Linked DNA regions of Lepisosteus oculatus. The protein of the gene in region 3 purifies or fractionates together with the protein of the main gene of each other region. This does not show direct contact. Links are inferred from orthologs where the notes say so. Each region holds a gene or a part of one and is shown on either strand. Other genes may lie near its edges.

Region 1 (7,347 bases), on a different chromosome or scaffold from region 3:
CTCCCAGTCGGGGCCACGCCAGGGGTGGGGCGGTGCCAGTGCCAGCATCGTGCCCCTCGCTCTCCCGGCAGCAGTCAGCAGGAGCCGTGGGGAACTGGGGTGACCCTGCGTCAGCACTGACAGAGGCTCTCCCACCATCTCCCAGAGCACCAGGACACCGGGGCCCAGCCAGACCACCTGGGAGAGCGTGCCCATGGCCCGGGATGAACCGGGGTTGGGAAACGCCTCTGAGGGCTGGCACAGGTGGGACCGAACAGATGGGGGTACTACGAACGCGCAGGCGGCCCCTCTCGCCAAGCCCCAGCGTGCCCGGGCACGGCCCCCGTACCTTCCTCTCCAGGGGGGGCTGCTCGGGCGCCATGCCGTACCACGCCAGCAGCTTGCGCCAGGCCTCGGCGGGCACCAGGATGAAGTCCTCTTCCTCCACCATACGCTCCTTCAGCCGACAGGACTCCAGGTCTGTCAGGCGCACCGGAGCACGGCCGGGGAGACACCGGGGAGAATTTCCAAAAACACAAGCAAAAAAAAACCAGAAGGAGAAGTGAAACCGCAGAGTTGTGCAGCCCTCTTAAGAAAACCTCAACGTGAAGATTGTTCTAAGAGGGAGGAAGAACAAATTTCAAATTTGGTGCAACAGAGACTAAAATACCACTTGCCCTCTCCGTGCTTGTTCAGAGCCCTGCCATGCTGTTTTAGAGGAATGCTCTAAACGGGCTGGATGGTATTTGTGTTCTACAAGTCGCTGCATCTTGGTCTGGGCCAGCGCCCGCTCCCTTACCCTCAAAGAGCTCCGCGTTGTCGATCCGTCCCGGGAAGGCGGAGGAGTTCTGGTCCCCCATGTGCACGTACTCCTTCCACTGCTTGAACCAGTGAAGATCCAGCAGGTACCTGCGCAGCGACAGGGACAGCGTCTCAGAGCCCCGCCCTGCCTGTGGCACAGACAACAGCCAGACCCGCGCCGGGCCTGACGCAGACGCTCAAGGCAGAGGGGCACATTTGTCTTGTGGGGTGGGGTGGCAGGTTGTGTGCCGAGCACAACATGCCTGGGGTTCACTGGGGTATACTGTACCTCGGCTTCTGTCCCCACAGGAGAAGCACTTTACACAAACACGCCTGCAGAAAAAAGTCAAGTCAATCTGGAAGGGGTTACAGTTTTTATCCTCTGGACTGAGAGTGATCCACAGCTCTGAGTGCTGTGAAGGGTCGGAAGAGAGGAAGAACAGCCTCTATATACAGAGTATGTGAAGCTACTGGAGCTGCTTGTTCCCCTGGGTCAATATTCAACGGAGATCTCTGCAGACCGCTTCACAGAAACCTTCTGCTGTGTGGGGCGTGTCCAGTGGCCAGGCTGAGTTAGGCTCAGCTGCCAGCAGACAGTTACTCTCTCCATAGCCCTGCGCTATCAGCCAGCCAGCAACCAGCTGGAGCTACTGCACTGAAGATAAGCCTGTGAGCTCTCAGTGTAAAAAGAGCCCATTTCCTCTGCCAGTCTACACCAAAATTAACAGTGCTGAAACTGCAGAAGACATACAGAGCTTTAAACAACTGAAAGTCAATTCTGCCAATTCTGCGCAGCAAACTGCCTCCGGGACCTGAAAAATGTTTGCAAAAGCGTCTGCGAGCACTCGGTGCTTTCATCCAAGAGGACCCTCGATGGCTGCACCAGCGGGATTAAGGGGGAACTTCAGGCAGACCAGACTGTACAATCCCAGAGAGGAAACCAGCCAGGAAACCCAGGATCTCTAACGAGCACGCAGTCGGGACCTCAGGTGAGAAGTCTCAACTGAAGGACAGCGCCTCCTACAGCACAGTATCCCTGGGCCTCAATTTAGGAATTAAAGCCTGGAGGGCAGAGCGCCTCCTACAGGTCCTGTTCAAGTTTAAAGAAACACGTCAAAGGATTCTAAGAATAGTCCAGAAAAACACTGTAACAGAAATAAGGCAAGCTGGAGGTAATACAGGTGTGACTTCTAAAACGCTACTGACAGAGGAAGCTGAAGTATAGCATTCTATCTGCTGATTTGTTTTTCTCAGATAGCAGGATGTTGTTGGCCAGATGATATATACCCAGGAAAGGCAACACAATCGATGATACATTACTTAAACTGTATATTATTTTTATCCACTAAACTAGTGCATCTGCTTTAGACCTGTGGTCAGTTGTGTCCTTCTTTCGCCTGCTGGGATCTCCATGTGGGCCAAACGTCACACGAAAGGCGACCTCCCCCCACTGCAGGGCTGTGGGTGTCCTGGGCCAGGGGTGCTCTTCACTGACCCAGAGGTTTCGCCACACTAGAGCGAGGGGGGGAATCTTCACCTGCAGATGCTAATGGACTGGCGTCACGGGAGAGGGCCGGACGCTGACCGCGATCCAGGCCTCGCGAGCCCAGCCAGGGCACGAGGAGTCCTGCCAGAGAGGCAGTGGGAGAGGTGCCGACCCCCGGCTTGTCTTGTCTTGCTTCGAGCCAGAACAGGCTCCCTCTCTGCCCGTCCAGCTGTAGACTCAAACTGCGCCCAGCTACAGCACGCGGACTGGTGCCGCAGGGCTGCTGGGGTTTCCCTCACTCTGCGCAGCGACGATTCTGCACTGGGTGGCCAGGAAGCTTCATTCCCCGGCTTGGCGAGTTTTGAGGGTCACTGGGTGTCCTCTGAGAAACGTATGGGGCTCCCCAGTGACTCCTCCCGTACAGGTGCGAGCCCCAGCTTAGGCTGAGCTCCCTGATCCCGGGTTCGAGCCTGGGTCACATCACTAATGCACTGTAACAGGGATTCCCCAAACGGTGCTGTCCATCAGGGACTAGTCAAGCAGAGCTCTCTCAGCTCCTAGTAACATAGCGGGGCCTGTCCTGACGCTTGTCCTCCTGTAGGGGGCGAAGAAGCCCAAGACATGTGGTAGGAGCCTGTCTGCTCTGCCCAATCTGCTGCTGTCAGCCGAGACTTGAAATCTTCCAAATGGCAATTCCGAATTGCGTGGATACATAACAAAAACACAAACAGAAAAACCTCATCATTGCTGTGGCCTGAGGACATAAGTGGGAGAGCGTGCTCAGGAGCAGACGGCGCTACGGCGGACCTGCGCATCGGCTGCTGGAGAGCCAGTCAGGGATGGCCTGGACCAGGGTCAGGCTGGTGAGCTCCTGTCGGCGTGCAAACAAGACAAGAGCACAACCGCCTGGGCTCCCTGTGCAAATGAACACATTCCTTTTTTTTTTCCAGACCAGAAAGACTCAAACTTCCCAAAGCAGACAACCCTGAGCAAAACTGATCCTCGTCCCAGGATAAATGAAACATTAATAAACAAGTTGGTGCACCTCTGGCAGGAATTGCAGAGCAGGACTGAAGCCCACAGTTGGGGGGGGGGGAGGTCAGGGTTGCGGGTTCGAATCCGTGGTGAGGCACAGCTGTTGTACCATGAGTGAGATATGCCATTCAGATCGCTCCACTAAAACACCCAGTGCTAGGAACAGGTCCCCCGGCAGATACTCTGAGAAATTTTTCTCAAAAGGCTTTGTCAAATAAAACCATAACAAACTCACATCACTCCCTTCCCAGAGTGGAGGTGATGCTCCACTTCCATCATCTAAAAGCTCTCCCATTTAGACATACTTGTCATTACAGGCCATCCTGATATACCTGGATATGCACAACAAATGTTTTATCAACCAATTCTTGGGGCAAATGAGGAAAAACTATCTTTTGAATTGTCATCTTTTGAATAATGAAAGCAGATACTTTGAACTAGTGCACGCCACGCATGGCCCTGCTCCTAACCGGGTCAAACGATTGCAGCTGCACTCTTTCAGGTCCACGTCCGGAAAGGTCGTGGAAAAACAGGTCCAGAGCCCACGGGCAGGCGGGTCTCTGCAGAGTGGCGAGACGGCACCAGGCCGGGCACCTGCGAAACCGATCCCCGACAGTCGCTAGGAAACACGCATCATGCCGGCCGATCCGGGCAACCGGTCCAAAAACCAGAAGGCACTTTATCCTAAAATTGTTCATCAAGCCCCAGCCCGACAGGACGAGCTAAACCCGCGTTGGAAAATCCAGTAATGCAGAGCGGACCACGGCTCGTACAGGTCTGACATCTCGACAGAGGGGGATGTCAACAGGCGCTCGCTCGACACGCCTGGTGCTGCCTCTGTGATTGAACAGCGCTTGAAGACGGGGGTTGAGTCACGGCCAGGAAGAGCCCGGCCCGAAGGCTTGCTGAGAGTGAACGGATCCGACTCTCCGCGTCGTTTCCCTCTCTCGGAGTTGACGTCAGAGGGAGAGAAAACGAAACCAGCTCAGACCTGCAGCTTCACCGCTCACCCACAAGCAAGACAAACTTATCGGGGACGCCCTGAACTTTTCCATTTTCCCACCCGAGACATCTCCATGTCCCGGCTCCCCTGGAGGGGGCTGTGCGGGACTTTAAGCTGAACGATTGAAATGACACCCCCGCTGCCGAAAGCCAATATGAACGCAGTTACACTAGCAAGCCCCTCCAATGAAAAAGTAGCGAAAGCAGCTCGGCGATTGCTGTGAATTCATCACGTACAAACCCCTGCACCTACACGGACCGAGTCAACGCAGGGGATCGCTGTGGCGGACCGATCTTCAGTCAGGTGAAGTGGGGGGACAGGGGAAAATGAGTTAATTTACACCCTGTCAGATCACAGCCTCGGGTTTCCTCTCCGGCGATCGCCTTACCAGCTGTCCCCGGCGCGCAGCCTGTGACCCTGGATAATATCTTCTATCTCTCCGCGCTGGGTCTCCAATCCCGGCGGCTCTGCCGACGAAGACGCGGTAACAGCAGCAGCAGCCATGATAGATCATCAATGTCTGTGTCTGTGAGGGTTCGCGAACTGCCCGAAAAACCACGGAACAGCAGATCGATGGGTCCGACTACCGCCGGAAGCAGGAAGCCATCCGGGCTGAGAAACCACTTCCGGGGGTGTCACTGTGAAATCAGTCCCCCGCTGCCGCCGCACACGCTTCGGCCGAGAGCACGTTTCACCTGCCTTTTCACTAACATTCCGATTAGTTATTAATAATCCGAAGTCGCATTTTAAGAGGGTGTAGGTTTTAATTGAAGAACACAATAATAAACACTGGTATTTGTATGATTTATTTACACCACTAAAAGTACTTTTTACAGTTACAGAGTGAACACTTGAAATAACTTTCCAATAGGATGAACAAACTACATTTCACTGAGTGTGTTATCCTCCGAGTTACAGCAGTGGGTGATGTCTTCGATAAGCACATCTTTATCGTTCTCATAATCACATGTTCCACTTTCGCTCAGCAGGTGGCGCCCTACAAACACACAACGCTGTACTGTTGTAGAGGTTTTGTGTTTGAACTACAACAGAGGAAGGACCTTCAAATATAATAAATAACACCTCCATTCTATTATTATTATTATTATTATTATTATTATTATTATTATTATTAACCAAATTCTTATACATAATACAGATGTAGGTGTAGTCAGTAAATAGTGAAATTCATTTATGAAAGAAAAATAAGTAGACTAGAAAACACTGTAGAGGCAGCAAAGGAGTGTTACAGTATGTGTTGGTACCAAAGTCATGAATAAAAATAAAGGCAAGACAGCCTGAGCTTGAAGAAGACACCTGTGAAAACAATTCAGGTATTTCTGCTCCCGCATCTTCTTCCTCCTGCAGTCAGTGTGGGAAAGCCTTAAGAAAGGCAAATAAAAAAATTAAAAAAACAATTTGAATCCAGGGGTGTTGTGTTAAATTTGTGCAATGCACTAGTAAGACGGTATCTGTGTACAATTCTGTTCACTGTCACACAAACATCCTGGCTGTGGAATCAGTCCTAACTCGGTCCCAGCCCAAATGACTGGTGTGTTCCTGGGCTCTGAAGGAACATCCTGCACCGAACAATGAAACACCCCCCCAAAGACACAAGAGGAAACTACAGGGAAGTGCATTCAGGGCTGAGAACAGGAGGCACTTATTTACATCAAGAGTGGAGGGAGCCTGGAGCAAGAATCCAGCAAGACAGATATCCAGGTGTATTTCAAGAAGCTGGATGTCATAAGACTTATTAGCTACTAGCAACCAAAAACAAGCTAGGCTTGCTGACTTGCATCCTGTTTTTTGCAATCTTGCCACTATTCCCCTATAATTCTGATTATACCACAACAGATGAAAACAGCGACCACTGTAGTGTACAGGGAAGAAAGCCAAGATCATCAACATTGTGGAATTTAGCCCAGACACTGGGGTTAACACCCTTACTCCATGGAACAGTTCTATAGGACCTTCAGTGTTCAGACTTTCAGGAACTCCTACAGCTCAGTTTCCCAGTCACCCTACTGGAGTATTAGTCCAACTACTGGGCCACCAGCACCACTCACAGCAGCAAGCTGGTTTTCCCTGGAGGTCTCTCCCTCCCCTTTCCAGTGCTGACCAGACCCAGCCCTGCTGAGCTTCTGAGACCTGATTAAATCAAGCTACAAGGTGGTAACAGTGCAGCTTGGATTTAACTTTTCTTCTGCTCAGGTTTTTGCTTATTTAGTTTGATCATTTCATTCGACATTTTAACCCCCCGTGACGAACTGTTCCAGATTGCCATTGATCGAGATTGGTCACATCTACAGTCATGTTTCCTTTTTCGTTGTGTGTTCTTTTATTCCCCCCTGAACCCCACTGCCCTAAACCCCAAAACATCCCCTCAGCCTGGTGTACAGTTGTCAGGGGATGTGTGGATCTGAGACAGTGCCTTCGGTCTGCCAGTGGGGGGCAGTACAGGGACAGCCAAGGCTAGGACATAAATGGATGTGACAGGCTGTCAGCGTTGTAAACAGGCTTCAGCCTGGCACTGCATCTAATCGTTTTAGATTGAAGACTGGTGTCCCATTATTTGCCCCTCTCTCGGCCCTCCTGAAGGCTGACACTGGCTTTTCCTTTCACCTGACAGTCGACTCGGAGTCATTTCACACCCAATTTGCCTCGGTGGCCATGACAGAGCCGTGCTGCGTGGGGGACATGATGGCTTTCTCACCTGCCCGCCTACTTTCTAGGCTAAACCGTATATTCAAAGCTTTCAAACCTGCATTTCGTGGTCTTAAACCGTATTGATATGAGATTATGCTGATGGGGACATATTTAGCTACACAATGAAAAATGCATCAGAATCTACAGAATGCAATTCGTCACCACGTTGCATAAAAATACTTGTGCTGTGCAAACAGAATTTGCTATTAAACATGAGATCCAAAGTTTTTTAAGGTCGTTTAAGATATAATTATGAGCACCACTCGCGCTCTGGGGTGTAGCGCGCAGAACGCGTCCTAGAGTTTGTTCCACGCAGGGGAAGAAGGCAGAGACG
Region 2 (7,347 bases), on a different chromosome or scaffold from region 3:
TGGAGCTCCTCCAGCCGGGTCTGGAACCAAGAGCGGCATGAGGCCCGGTCCGGAGAGGGCTCCGGCGCCGAGCCTCGAAAGCAGGGAGAGGCCCGGTCCAGGAAGCACTCCGGCGCCGAGCCTCGCCCATCTGGGTGTCCAGACTGACTTCATCACCCATTCCTGCGGGATCAGGTTAATGTGCCTGAGGCACAGCACTCAAAGCCTTTCTACTACTTGCCTTGGAGATCGCGATAGCCCAATTTTACTAAGCCAATATGCTGTTGAGAACTGGTTTTCCCCCCCATCATTGTCAGCCAGCCTTCTCAGCTTTATGAGTTTACATACTGAAATTTTCCCAAAATCCAAGATCTGGGAGTGAGAGATCGGTCACGAAGACCGAGCCCTCCAACGACGGCACTCTCAAACAGCGAGAACAGGAATACCTGCATGCACAGACCCTGCCCACAAAATAAGAGCTCTTCCATCTTTAGAAGAACAGCAACAACCCCCGAGGACAAACAGTTCAGCCTCCGTCTGCTTTGGTGAGCGACCCACGCCTGAGGCCACTCACTGCCACACATTTTAAAGGACAGATGCACCAAATATCCATAATTACACAGCAATCAAAACTTTCGAGATGGGAAGCAGAGGAGAGGGAGAGGCGAGGGGTGAAACTGGACAGGAAGAGCTCCACAGCACCCAGGCACCTACTTGTATATAGGCAGTGATATGGACCGATTTTACTATGGGCCGCTGGGCAGTCCGGTAGGGTGTGAAGGACTGAACCAGACAGAGGGGGACAGTGGTGTTACAAAACCCACAAAAACCGCCAATGTGACAGGAAAAGCTTTTCAAAATAAAACAAAATAAGCCGAAAGGCCCGGTGGCTCCCGGCGGCCGGCCTCGTACCCGGATGATCTCGGAGGCGAAGTGGCCCTCGGCGATCATCTGGCTCCCGGTCTCGTCCAGCTTGATGATGGCGCCGGCGTTGGCCTGGACCTCGGCCTCGAAGGCCTGGTGCTTCTGCAGCTTCCCCTGGAGACGCGAGAGGAGGAAGACGCTTTTAGCGGAGCCCGCGCAAATCCGGGTTTTTTTCCGGGCACCATGGATCCGAGAGGGCCCCAGGCATTGGAAAGGGGGGGAACACTGCCATCAGCACAAGGTCTTAATTAGCGAGCTACGCAGCTGCGACAGCGAGACCAGTTTTTCTTTTCCAGACGGCCGTGGACATACAGGAAAGGTCCGGTGTGGACTGCGGCATTTCCCTCACACAAAGGAAGCCACATGGGACGCGCTAGAGGCCTCTACCTAGAGAGCACACGCGAACCTCCCGGGCTCAAGGCCCCATTCGCAGAGAGAGCCCTGGGGGCGGGGGCTCCTGACCTGCAGGTTGGTGGGGTCCTTGTAGTTCTCGTCGGAGGCGATCTGCAGCTTCTCCTGGATCCACTTCTCCAGCTCGTCGGCGTCGCGGCGGAAGAACTGGAAGCGGTAGGAGTCCTCCAGCTTCTGCCGGCGCAGCGTGGACAGCTCCTTGAAGCGGCGGTAGCGGTCCAGCACCTGCTGCCTGCGCTCCTGGATGTCATCTGCCGTCTCCAGCACCTTCATGCCGCTGGTGTCCATCCTCTGAGCCCACGCACACACACACAGGAAGAGAGTCACACTCGGGGCCCCCAGAGCTCCCGGCGCAGTACCGGGTCTCGCCAGCAGGGGTCTCCGGCTCAGCCCACAGAGGGCCTCGCCCTCAGAGCTGCTCTCATCGCGCAGGCAACTGCGACACTCCGGCCAGGCCCTGAGCTGCTCTTTAGAAGAGGAACGACTGTGCCCTTCATGAGAGCCATATACGCCTCTAGGAATATAATCAGGGTCACTACTTGACCAAAGGTGAAACAAAACCCAGGTAAAACACCGCTGGAGACCAGGGGCCTGTGTCCAGCTGGTTTCTCCACAAGGGAGGGAGGAGGGAAAGAAGGACACCATTCAGCTGCTGCTCACACCTGCTGGGTTTTATTTTGCTCTGTTTATAACCTTTCCAGCAGTCCCTAAAGCTTACCAGACCCAAACTTCAAAGCCCTAATTATTAACTGTGTCTCGCGGCCTTTCCAGTATTTGTGCATCACCACGCCGCATTAGATCGGAAGCGATTTTGACATGCCTCACGCGGCACAACGGAGAAGTTTAAATTTAAAATGAAGAACCCTGCTTTCCACAACCATATCTGTGAATACCTGCAGAAAGCCAAACGAGCTGTCGACCCAAGCACACGGGGTACACGCTACACTGCTAACTCGCGAGAACGCCCCCCTTCTAAACGAGAGCGAGGGGAAACGGGCAACATCTCGGTTCTCCCCGATCAGAATCTTGTGAACTTTCTTTATTCACTCTCTCATGAAGCTGAAAGAAATCCCTGCGGCTGTCCTGTCCCCCTCCTGATGGCTTTCCCAGCTGGCACCAGATGAGGGGGAGCAGCTGTTGGCCGAGACGCTAACAAACAGCTGGCGGGTCGAGGACAGACGCCAAGCAGGCCGAGACCCGAGAGGGCGACTGCAGCTCCCGGCTCAGCCCCGCCCTTCGCGCTGGGACGCTTCACAGCGAACCCTGACCCAGGGCAGGAACGTGCAGCAGAGAAATGAAAGGCCCGTGGCAGCACTGTGTCAAAGTCCCTCCCTTTATCTCACTGCTGCGATCTGAGGAGCAGGACTCCGGATGAGTCAGGCTAGGACTAAGTGCCAGCTATGACTCCAGAATGAAAGATGTCTGCCGGCGCCTTGCGTTCAAACAGCAGCTGGAACCACATCAAAGCCGTGAGGAAAACGCTGGTTTCCACTAAGCAAGCAGGTGCTGCAGTCCTGTTCTCCTGGCACCAGGTCGTGCAGCTGTCTTCTCGCGGACGCCCGGATGGACGGGGAACTGGCCTCGCCGCGGGCGTCTGGCCTCCCCCTCTGCAGGGTGCTGGGACAGCCGAGCCCCTGCCTTCCTGCTGGACATGGCGAGAGGGAGGACAGACCACCCCCACTCTGAAACCCCTCACGCACTGCTGGCCTGACTGACCCGCAACCTGCTAGATCTCATCAACCACCAAAGCCCTTTGGGATTTTCACTCCTGCGACAGGTCAGAAACCCCCCAGAGACACGCGGCCCCCCCCCTCCCCACGCGAACTGCTCCAAAACGCACTGCCGGCTAACTGCAAACCCTCACAGACCACTCCTGTGCCTACAGGACCCAGACCTGTGACGATGGGGTGTTCCTGCATACGCCAGGCATGGGGCTCAGTGCCCGGTCCGCAGTGCCAGCGCCTCCTGCTTCACTAAGGAACGACAGACAAGGCAAGAGTCACGCTGGCTGGCAGCGAGGTATCGCCGTGCAGCACGGAGCTGCTGTAGCAGCCAGATAAGGCCACTCAGATCCACACCGAGCTCTCCCTCAGATAGCTGCGGATTCCAAGTCTCTTGACAAACCACACGCCGGGCAGCACTAAACTACCGGATTTCTTTTTTCCATTCCGAGCAGCTCCCTTACTCAAGTCCTGCCGGTCTGACAGACATCAGGACGTCAGTTCAAGGAGACCAACGGCCAACACAAACCCGACTCTCGCTCACAAAAATCAACGAAAAGAGAGTCGCAACGCTTTCGGAAATTGATCTGACTGGATCACGTCTCGGCCCCCAGCTGCTGCCTCTGTAAGCGAAAGGGACTCGCAAGATGGCTTGACTACACACTCCACTACAGCTCAAGCCTGCACCGCGGTCGGGAAGGCGAGGGAGGTCGTGACCCCGGTCAGACAGAGTGAGCCCCCGCGAGCCCCCCCCGCTCGCACAGGGCTCGCGGACCCCTCCCTCCGCGCTGATAACGAGCGCGCGGCCGGCTCTGGAAGCTTCTGCCCGCCGGCGCGCCCCTCCGCCGCCGGCCACGCCCAGCCCCGCGCGCTCCGCCGCCCCCGCCGGCCGCCCCTGCGTTCCACGCCGCGCGGAGCTGTGTGCGTGCGTGTGCGTGGAGAGGGGCGATGAACGATGCTAGCAGCTCCCTTTTTCAACAGGCATTTTGCGTTTATTGAAAACCCACAACAAAAATAACACCCGCTGCATTCCAAATGCTTAGCCATCATGAGGAGGTCTCGCAATTGGCCTGGGGGGGGGGGGGCCAGACCTTTTCAAAAAAGCTGCTTTTACAGCTGAAAAATAAATTCAGAGTAAAAAGGAGACTTCCAATGCCAGGGATGTAGCCATCAGCTGACATGCAAGAGATGTGCCCCTGTCCAGCCACTCCCCCCAGCAGGCTTCTACAGCTGCATGCTCCACATTCCAGGACAGGACAACGGTATTTATAGAGGCCGCCCCGTCCCTGAGGAATTCGATCACCGCTGAAGTACGCCTGGCAGATCAGCGCTCACTGTAAACTGGAGCCGAGGGCCATAACGAAGTAATAGATAGCAGATATTTGCACCACCCAAAAAATATTCAAACAACAATGAGTCATTATCTGAGATAACATCAATTCATATTGATACGTAACCAAACACATAAATCAGCCTGGGATTGGGATTTCTAACCCGCCAGCAAAGGGCCGTGCTTGTCCACAATACCCAGCAGGCTGCAGAACCAAGCAGCAGGAGGAAACGGATGAGGTCACCTCCGATCCGCGTTCCAGGGGCCGGGGCCGAAGTGCAACTGAGCAAAACAGGAAACAGGACTGCTGGGATCTGCCTGCCGAGTGGCCACACCTTAAACGTCTTGTTCCCCCCACCGACCTGCTCACTTCGTCCCCTAGGAAGCCGATGTGTTTGAGTCACTCCCCTGCCGTCAGATGGGGCGGTTTTATAAGATGGTTCATCTACAGTATTTGCAACTACTATCTGGTCATCTGCACACCTGCAGCCATTTCTAAACACTTTCAACAGCACGTGCCGAGCAAATTAGGCCATCTACCATCAGACACCCTGGACTGCGCTTAATTTAACCCCACGGACTCCCACACCTTTCATTATGGTGTATAACGAGTTTTTATTAAGAAGGCACAAGAAACTTTTAAAGTCCATGAAGAACATAAGAAAAAAGATCAGTTTTTAATAAACCACTGCACCTTTCTCAAGCTTCCCCACTACAGGGGGGACAGACGTCTTGCAACACTCCCAGCACACTGCATCTCACAATACAGAGAGAAGCAAAAGGCAAAATTTCACTGGGTGCTTTACTCAACTGCACACTTACATTTAATGATAAACTTGAGCTGAACCTGGAAACTGAAGAGAAATCCTTCCATTGACAAACCCTGACATTAAAAATATTAAAGCAACCCTTTTCCCAAAGAGCAAAACAAAGAAGAAAAAAGTTCCAAGAGGCAGTTTGTTTCCACGTGCAGAAATACACTCGCATGCAGCACACACAGAAAAACAACACCAAACTGCTGGATAAGGAACACAAGCACAGAGCAAATCCAGGAAACACGTTCTCACAACGAAGTCCAGTCCGTTTCCCCAACACAAGGCAGCCGGGGCCAGAGTCTATCCCAGCAGGCAACGGTGCAAGGCAGGACACACCCTGGCCAGGACGCCAGTCCATCGCAGGGCACACAAAGACACACCCTGGCCAGGACGCCAGTCCATCGCAGGGCACACACAATTTCTCCCCAGTACTGCAGTGCATCATCTACCACCACCTGCTCAGATTTTCTCCAGCCAGCCACAATCAGCTCATTTGCTTTAACCCTCATTTACAAAACCTCTCTAACAGCGTTGCCCTTTCCTGGAGTAACCATCAGTTTTTACTGCTGTTGAGCTGTGGATTAATTACATCTGCTGAACCTTTATTTGCCCCACGTCTTTTTTATCCAACTGGGTTCTGCACTCGGATCTCAGTTTCAGAAAATCTCCTTTATGCGCAACTATTTCTAAAAAATGTTGCAGCAGAAATTTCAGCTTGGTACACAATCGGCGCTTTCAGACAGCTTCCTAAACAAGGAAATCAAGGATCAGATGATGTATAAACAGGCAGGAATGACTACCAGACACTTGCATAATAAGTATTTGTCCTGGTGCCTCAGACTCATTTCTCAAACTCCACCGTAAATCATAAACTGTTGGAACTCTGAACAGGGTTCATGCCAATTTCTAACCTCCTTTTCAAGAGCTGAAACTGATTTTTAAACACAAATAGTTCAATGAAAGGTTCAGTAGATCTGGGCAACCCAGAGCTCATGAGGAACAGGAGGAAGAAGGCACAGGGAGAGCCCAGGCCCGAGACCGACGTGACTGAGGAGTGCCCTGGCACAGATCACAGGCGGAGTACGAGAGCCCTGGAGCAGGAGCTGCTGTAGTCCACAGGATGAATGCAAGCGCAAAGCAAGAGCACGACTCCCTGCGCCAGAGCCCGACGCACTGCCTCTGCAATGCGAAGTCAAACCCAGCGCATACATGCGGCTCACACCGCAAGCATCAGAGCAGGACGAGCCCCAGCAGCACAGCTCACGACGTCCCAGAAATCTTCTGGGTTACCTAGCGATTTTATTGGAATTGGAAGCAACTCTGCACCCACGTATGATAAACTCACCCATATAAGGTTTGCTCCCAGTTAAAAGGCACATGCACGCACACACACACACACACACACAACACCAGTGTGACACTCAGTACCTTCAGTTTGGGTTTACGAAATGTGGACTGCATGATGTCAGGTGTAGCTGCCGTGGGCTACAGGACACAACGACACTGTTACAGACTGAAAAACGCAGTGTTAAACAAGACAAACTGAACACACAGATTTATGTACGATTCTCCCGTCACCTCCAGCATTAAAAACGCAACCCAAAGCAATCCAAATAAAGCACAGACATTCTTATACACGTACTGATCCAAATGTGATCACACACAAAAAGAGAGGTCAGTATACATACTGTGTTTGCAAACAAAAGGAAACCACGTACAGGTGCCATCACTCCTATGTCTTTAACATGTACATTGTACGTCTTCTGCACACGCTACAGCACAGAGCTCTCAGAGCACCAGAGGTGTTGTAGAAGCTTTCTAGGTATTCACTTCTGAACGCATTTACATCCTACTCACATGAGAGATGGCTCTTTCAAATACAGGGTGTAACAGGTGAAATACAATTATGCTCTCAAGAAAAAGAAAGACATCTACTGCACTAAGCAGAGTGAAGCTGCAATGCCTACTTCGTTCATCAGTTCGGGGATGAATTTGCAACAGCGAGGTTTATTGCAATTCTATTTTTTTAAATCCCGTTTCCATATTCACTGAGCCGAAAGGGGCTTGTACCTCACTGACTAAACACGCCAGCGTTAAAAACTGCAAGTCTACATCAACCCAAAACCCTGCAGCGAACCAAGGAGAACAAGTTTGCATTTACATCCAA
Region 3 (7,347 bases):
CATCTGGACAAGACCAGTCCCATGGACAAGAAAGTGAGGTCTCAGGGAAACAACACACAACTCCAACTGACAATCGATTCATCTGGGAGTTTCGACCTGGCAGTGAAGGCACCCAGGGCTTTCTACGCCAATAGAGGGAGGCTCTACAATATCAACCCCCCCATAAAAATCTGGCTGCAAATATTTGAAAGTGTAATCCAACCCATTGCCCTATACAGCAGTGAAGAGTCTGGTCCACTCAGAGACCAGGATTACACTGTGACAACTCATACAAGCCTTGTGCACAGAGTTCTGAAAACAACATCCTCCATGTACAGTGTGTGATCTCCTGTCCCAGCCTGAGGAACAGACAGTGAGCCTGTCTCTCAATAATAATAATACAGTGTGTGATCTCCTGTCCCAGCCTTAGGAACAGACAGTGAGCCTGTCTCTCAATAAAAATAATACAGTGTGTGATCTCCTGTCCCAGCCTGAGGAACAGTGAGTCTGTCTCTCAATAATAATAATATAGTGTGTAATGTTCTATATGTTGTATGTAAGTGTCCCGAGATGTGTTTGTATTGTCAACATCTGTAGATGTTGTGTTAATTGTATCTGCTTTGGCAACACTGAAATTCATCAGTCATGCCAATAAACCTGCTTGAATTTAAAAAATCTGAAAGAAACAGGCTCAGGATGAACTTAAAGAATTTTATAGGCTCAGGAAAGAGAGACCAATAAACCCAGAGGCAAGAAGAGAGAGATCTAATCTGTACAAAGACCACACCAGGTCACACTGTTGCTAAATACAAAGATTCAGCCTTTTTCCCTCCCCCCGCCGTCTGTCAGGAGTGCTGAACAACAGGAAAGGGTGTGTGCGTGTCTTTGCGCATGTCTGTGCATGTGCGTGTGGAGGGATAAATTGCTGCTCTGCCTATTAACTACTCTGATTCCTGCAGATAAGGACAGGGCAGTTGCTCTACCAGAATAAGGATAGAGACAGAAACAAATCCTGGGCTGAATAGGCAGATACCCACTGCTGACCAACATACAGAAGACTGCAAGAAAATACTGGTCACCCCTGAGAACCAGTGAGCAGAGCTCCCAGCATCACAAGACCCTGCTGAGCCAGAGCTGAGCCCAGAGAAGAGCCCTCAGCCAGCTGGTCCTGAAGCTCACTGACAGCAACCAGCTACAGCAACACCCACCACACAGCACAACACACACAGCACTGCCTCCCCCACTGGGACACACACACACAAACACACACACACTGACCAGCACTGCCTCTCCCACTGGGACACACGCACACAAACACACACACACTGACCAGCACTGCCTCTCCCACTGGGACACACGCACACAAACAACACACACTGACCAGCACTGCCTCCCCCACTGGGAGAGAGACACAAACTGGAGGACTGCAGGACCACACCCTGTGCCCAGTATGCAATCTCCTGCCACAGCCTAAGGAGCAGAGAGCCAGTCTCGGATGTTTTTTTCAGATATGGATGGAAATAACTAACAGGATTTATGTTGTTGATTAGCAGTACTTACTCACTGGTCACTGCAACAGAGCTCACCGAGTCTGGAGATGAGAGCTCTTCTCCCTTTCCAGTTTCCCATGACCCCTGTGACCCCACAGCTGAAGAAGTCAGTGCTTCCCACGCCCACCCTGAACACAGCACTCCCCAAAGTACACACACCCCTACCCTAAACTCAGTGCTCCCCAAAGTACACACCTCTACCCTGAACACAGTGCTCATCACACCTCCACCCTGAGAACAGTACCCACACCGCAGGGCAGCAGAGAGGCCCTGATCCAATCCAGGCCCTTCTGCACCGACCCGGGCTGCCTTCTGTTTCCCCTGTCCTCTGGGACACATTCCTACCATTCCACTCGCTAATGGATAAGGAGAGAATTCCAGAAATGCAGCTGCTGTCAGCACAGGCAGAGACCAGCATCAGGCCAGACCGTGAGCCCTGCAGCTGAAAGTCACAGCAGACCTGGCTCATTCTCTCTGCTGTGTGACACACTCCCTTGCTCACAGGCGGATACACCCTCAGAGCTCTCTTCTTCACACAGGCACAGGCTGCTGCTGATCGAGCACCGGTTCTGGGATCACAGGGCACAGCCCAGGCTGACAACACACCCCACTGGGCCCACTGCTGAGCAAGCAGCTGCTCAACACCATTAAAACACCGGCCCTCACACTATGTGGCTGGAGCCTCATTTGCATTCATTCAGAGGACACTGAGACAGCAGCAGCAGCACTGGAGGAAGGATACAGCCTGTGAGCGCCCCCCATTGGACACTCCAGGAAGAGCTTCTGCTGACCAGTCAGCCAGTGAACTAAGAGGTACATAATTGCTGCCACTGGGCTGTCCTGCAGCAGAACCGCTGACACTGCCAGTACCCTGCTCAGCAGACAAATCATCAGGACTGCTGGCCACCAGCGTCTCCGCCCCTCGATAGCCCACAGCCACACAGGGAGATAAGGGATACAGATAAGGATACAGGGAAAACTTCCCAACAGGAAGTGAGCAGTCAGCGGGTCCCCAGGCAACGAGAAGAGCAGCTCATTCCTGACGGAGTGCACAGAGCAGGAATGTCTGCCGAGCTCGAGGACAAGTCAGCACAGGGAGCCAGCAGCTCCTGCAATCTCGTTATCGGCCACACCCACACAGTCCAGGGCAGAACTGCACCTGCGCTCTTGTCCTCTGTCCCGTTCCGGACACTGACCGGGTCTCCAGGACAGAGAGACGGCGGCAGGCAGGCCAGTGTACGAGGAGAGACACGAGAGCTCTGTGCTAAGGGCACCCCCCCTGCCTCAGACTGCCCAGCGCCAGGGTCAGAGCCACCACGAATACCTCCCCTCCAGCACACACAGGCCACAACCAAGACTGCGACACAGCTGCCCAATTCCACACACAGCAGAGCACGCACACACACCCGGGGCTTGGCCCCGAGCGTCGCACAGCAGGACCGCTACTGGGGTACGGAAGAGCCACACTCCTCCGCCCGCTGCCGGCTCTTCTCCTCCCTTGGATCGGTAGACCCAGGTCACCTGGCTGTCTGGTGGCACCGCCAGCGCTGCTCAGCCACAGTTTCACAGGACGTGACTGCAGTGTCCCTGCAGCCAGATCCAGATCCACCCCGGGTTTTACCACCCGCCGCAGGCCCTCGAACAGGCACCTGAAGGAACCGCGGTTCAGGAACAGAAACGGCTGCTTTTCTGCTCCACCAGAACGGACTCAGGAGCTCTCAGCTGCTGAGAAAAGCCGAGATGGACTCCAGGTGTCTGGGAGCCCATCTGCCCAGCACAGATGAGACCGTGCTCACCTACTGTAACCCCCTCCTTGACCCGCAGGGGGCGCCACCAGGGGCACTGTGCACATGCGCCTCAGTCACAGAGACACTGGTGAGAAAACCTGCAACCCCTCTCCTGCCACTGCTCCGCAGAACAGATTCACCCCCACAGTGACCCTCACCCGAGCCTGACAACACCCTCGCTATAAACACCCCTCCTCACCCCAAACCCCTCACTGTCCCTCTCACCCTCACTGCCCCCCTCAATGTCTCCCCAAACCCCCTCAACCCAAACCCCTCTCTCCCCCCTGGGCCGTCTGCAAGCCTGGTGAGACAGAACACTTTTGGCTGCTTGGTGCAGCATCGCACCTCAACTTCCTGTTGTCGGACGCGTGTCCACATCCGCCCAGGTGCCTGAGAGCTCCAGCACAGAGACAGGAAGTGACATCACACTCAGAGCACAGGGAGGAAGTGACATCGTTGCCAGAGGCCAGGTACACTAACAGACTCCCACAGCCCGAGACCACGCAGAGACGTCAGGCAGGGCAGTTCTGGGGAGGCCCAGTCCAAACACTACAGTGCCAAGAACCGCAGGATGTCTCCAGCACCCAGCACAGGGTGAAACCAGGACCCATAAATATTCTGTGACAAAACGGTTGTATCTGAACCCCTGACCCCGACCTCAGACTCCAGACACCGCCGGTCCCGGTCGACCCGTCCCCCTAATTGTTCCACGCGATTCCCCCCCACGCCCGTGGAAAGATTAGGCTCAGGCGAGACCGGCCGGAAATGAGCCTCCCGGGCTCGCGATAAGAAATTTCCTTCGGAGGCAGGACCCCGGACCCGAATCAGACCGGGCTGGGAACCGCCACGGCGTGCCGTGGACCGGCCGCGAGCTCGCCCACCAGCCCTCCCAGTCGCGGCTCGCGCCGTGGCCAGCGCCACTTCCTCGGTGGATGAGATCATCCCGGAGAGGTGAGGGTGCGGCTGCTGCTCCCAGGTCTCCACACCCCACGGCACGAGTGTCACCCGCTCAGCCCGGGCGCCAGGAAAACCCGGACTGGAGCCGCACTGCGGCGGCGTGTCGCTGTTTCACCTGAGCTGGCGGTGAGGGTGCAGGTCCTAAAACACGCGCGTTTCTGCAGGGCGTGAGCAGAAAGAGACCAGACAAGCCCGCTCCCGGCCCGAGTGACCCGGTCCTGACCCTGACAGCTCGGGGGCCCGTGTCTCTCCGTCCCTCCCGCCCCGGAGACCGTCGGAGCAGCCGGCAGCCCGGGAAACAGACCCACCGCGACCCCGGAAACACCCCCAAGCCCAGCAGCCGCAGGACTCCACTAACCCGGCGTGCGCGACCCGTACGAGTTGGACCCCGGCTCCCTCCCGGCGCACTTCCTGTAGGAGCCCGAGCACGGCAGCGCCCCACGCCCGCTCAGCCGCCGGTGACGAAGCGCAAGAGCACGAAGTTCCTGGTCCGGCTGAGGCTGACAGAGGGCACTTTACCTGGGCCAACGACGAACAGAGAATCGTCTGAAACCCTTCTGAACTCGGTCGGCTCCCCGTCCCGCTGTCCCAGCTCGGCGGCGAGAAAGCAGTTGTCGTGCAGCTCGGTGGAAACGCGCAGTAGCAGCGAGCGCTTGTCTCCTCTCGGCCTGAGCGGCTGCTTCCGCGCAGACTGGCTGGGACCGGGCAGGGCGCGGCTGCGGGGCGGGGCCAGGCTCCCAGCCACGCCCCCCGCCCAATCGGAGCAGGCCAATCTGGGCCGGACCGGCCAGTGGCGGAGCGGCATGGGGGCGTGGCTTGAGGGTGCTGCTCCCGGGGCTCGGAGGCAGCGCTAAGTGTTTAATTAGAGAGGTATGTGCGGGATAAGTTTATTACCATATAAGTATGACTGCCAGCGGCATCAAACATCTCCCTGCAGACACCTTTCCTGCCTGCTTCCACAGTAATTAGTCACCCTCGAGTCCCGTGAGCGCTAAAATGTTAGAGAAGCTGGCCGCCTCCGTATCTGCGTTGATCGCATTTCTAATCATGTCCCATTTAACAACACTCCGACAGAGGAAGGTCCTCCTCGTGGTCACGACCGGACACACCTGACAGTACATCTGTTGGCAGCAACATTGTCAGTAGCCTTCTGAAGATCTGAATGCCCAGTGGCGCTCGCTCTGTTTCCTGCTGATCAAGGTACACGGTAGTTAAAGAGATCTGTCTTTTTAAAATCCACATTGACTAGGATGTTCTTTTTAATACTGATGATCCCCTGGTTGTCTTCTGATTATTGTTTCCATTACTTTATATGCCACAGAAGGCAGACATACTGGTCTGTAATTATTTGGCTGGGTTGTCTGTTGCAGTGGGTATCCCCCCCTCTGCAGAGCTCCAGAGACTGCTGGGAGAGTTGAGCTGTGAATCTTCTCCTGCGCCGGGATAGATGGCTGTTTCAGCAGGTGCCTCCCCTGCGCTGGTACCTGTGTCCTTCTGCTGTCTGAGGCCGGTGAGTCAGGCCTGGTGCCCCGCGAGAGCCAGCCCTTTGCTCTGGCTCTGACCTCAGCAGGCTCTGGAACAGGCTGAGGCCAGCCCAGGGGCCAGTGCCACAGTACATGCCAGTATGGGCGATTGGGGACACACAGACTGGCACCCCTCTTACCCAAGCTGACTCTGGACACTTGGAGCAAACCTGCACATGGAGAAGAACATGCAAACTCCACACAGATAGCTGGCCAGCTCAAAATGTATCCAAATTCATGGTGTTCAGCGTTGATTGGTGTTTCTAAATTAACAGCTGCTCAACACAAACTGAGCATGTCTGTGAGAGTGAGAGAGTGAGCATGTGTCTGAGACAGTGTGTGACTGAGACAGAGAGTGTATCTGAGAGAGTGAGAGAGTGTATTGGCTACACCTAAAAAACAGCGACCAAAATTCCTACCACCACAAAGCCCTGCTGAGCCAAGAGCTGAGCCCAAAACAGAGCCCCCTGAGCCAGCTGGTCCTGAGCCACACCGACACCAGCCAGTCTCAGGACGGCACTGCTAGAGCACCACAACTCAGACCCAAGCACATCACAGCACAGATCAAACAGCAACATCTCACACACTGGGACACACACACACAAACAACAAACTGGAATGCTACAGAACCCTAAACAGACAATACACACTAGCTGAATATTTGACCAAGATAAGAAACAACAAAAAGAAACAGACCCTGATGAAGTACAGGCTCAGTGACCACAACCTGGCCATAGAAACTGGGCGACACAGGCAGACCTGTCTGCCCAGAGAGGACAGGCTGTGCTCCCACTGCCAGCGGGGAGAAATAGAGACAGAGGTGCACTTCCTACTGCACTGTGACAGATACTCTGGAATTAGAGAAACATTCTTCCCTAAACTCAGAAATCTAGTCCCAGAGTTTCCACACCTGCCAGAATCACAATGGGTCCCAATCCTACTGGAAGAGGGAGGAGGGAACTCAATTGAACTGGCAGCCCAGTATGTGATATCCTGTCACAGCCTGAGGAACAGTGAGCCTGTCTCCCAATAATGCTCCATTTGTTAACAGTATATGTAAATATTTGATGATATGTCTTTGTTGTAAATCTGGAATATGTCTGAGGAACAGACAGTGAGCCTGTCTCTCAATAATAATACAGTGTGTGATCTCCTGTCCCAGCCTGAGGAATAGACAGTGAGCCTGTCTCTCAATAATAATAATACAGTGTGTGATCTCCTGTCCCAGCCTGAGGAACAGACAGTGAGCCTGTCTCTCAATAATAATAATACAGTGTGTGATCTCCTGTCCCAGCCTGAGGAACAGACAGTGAGACTCTAATAGTTCATGTTGGAAATTCCTGGGGTGCTGTCGGCATGGAGTTTGTATGTTCTCCCTGTGTTTGCGAGTTTCCTCTGGGTGCTCCGGTTTCCTCCTCTCTCACAATCTAAAGACATACTGGAGGGTTGATTGTCTTCTGGGAAATGTGCCCTGGGGTGTCTGTGTGCCCCGTGATGGACTGGTGTCCTACCTTGCGCCCACAGCGTGCCTCACTCGGCCCCCCGCAAACC

Evidence for each region.
Region 1: the proteins of myh9a (region 3) and usp11 purify together in Homo sapiens (affinity purification with mass spectrometry; 3 studies listed by BioGRID, with this or other methods). This does not show direct contact. The link is inferred for Lepisosteus oculatus from reciprocal best matches to the Homo sapiens genes MYH9 and USP11.
Region 2: the proteins of myh9a (region 3) and sptan1 fractionate together in Homo sapiens (co-fractionation; 3 studies listed by BioGRID and IntAct, with this or other methods). This does not show direct contact. The link is inferred for Lepisosteus oculatus from reciprocal best matches to the Homo sapiens genes MYH9 and SPTAN1.

Annotation. Positions count from the first base shown.
Region 1 is NC_090697.1:76,577,378-76,584,724, forward strand, and holds the start of usp11 (ubiquitin carboxyl-terminal hydrolase 11), read right to left. Parts: upstream 4,900-7,347; 5' UTR 4,809-4,899; coding exon 4,693-4,808; intron 889-4,692; coding exon 779-888; intron 460-778; coding exon 329-459; intron 1-328.
Region 2 is NC_090719.1:15,113,819-15,121,165, reverse strand, and holds the start of sptan1 (spectrin alpha chain, non-erythrocytic 1), read right to left. Parts: upstream 3,754-7,347; 5' UTR 3,245-3,753; coding exon 3,209-3,244; intron 1,606-3,208; coding exon 1,366-1,605; intron 1,018-1,365; coding exon 892-1,017; intron 21-891; coding exon 1-20. UniProt on the Homo sapiens protein: Fodrin, which seems to be involved in secretion, interacts with calmodulin in a calcium-dependent manner and is thus candidate for the calcium-dependent movement of the cytoskeleton at the membrane.
Region 3 is NC_090707.1:39,741,766-39,749,112, forward strand, and holds the start of myh9a (myosin-9), read right to left. Parts: upstream 4,883-7,347; 5' UTR 4,793-4,882; intron 1-4,792. UniProt on the Homo sapiens protein: Cellular myosin that appears to play a role in cytokinesis, cell shape, and specialized functions such as secretion and capping. Required for cortical actin clearance prior to oocyte exocytosis. Promotes cell motility in conjunction with S100A4.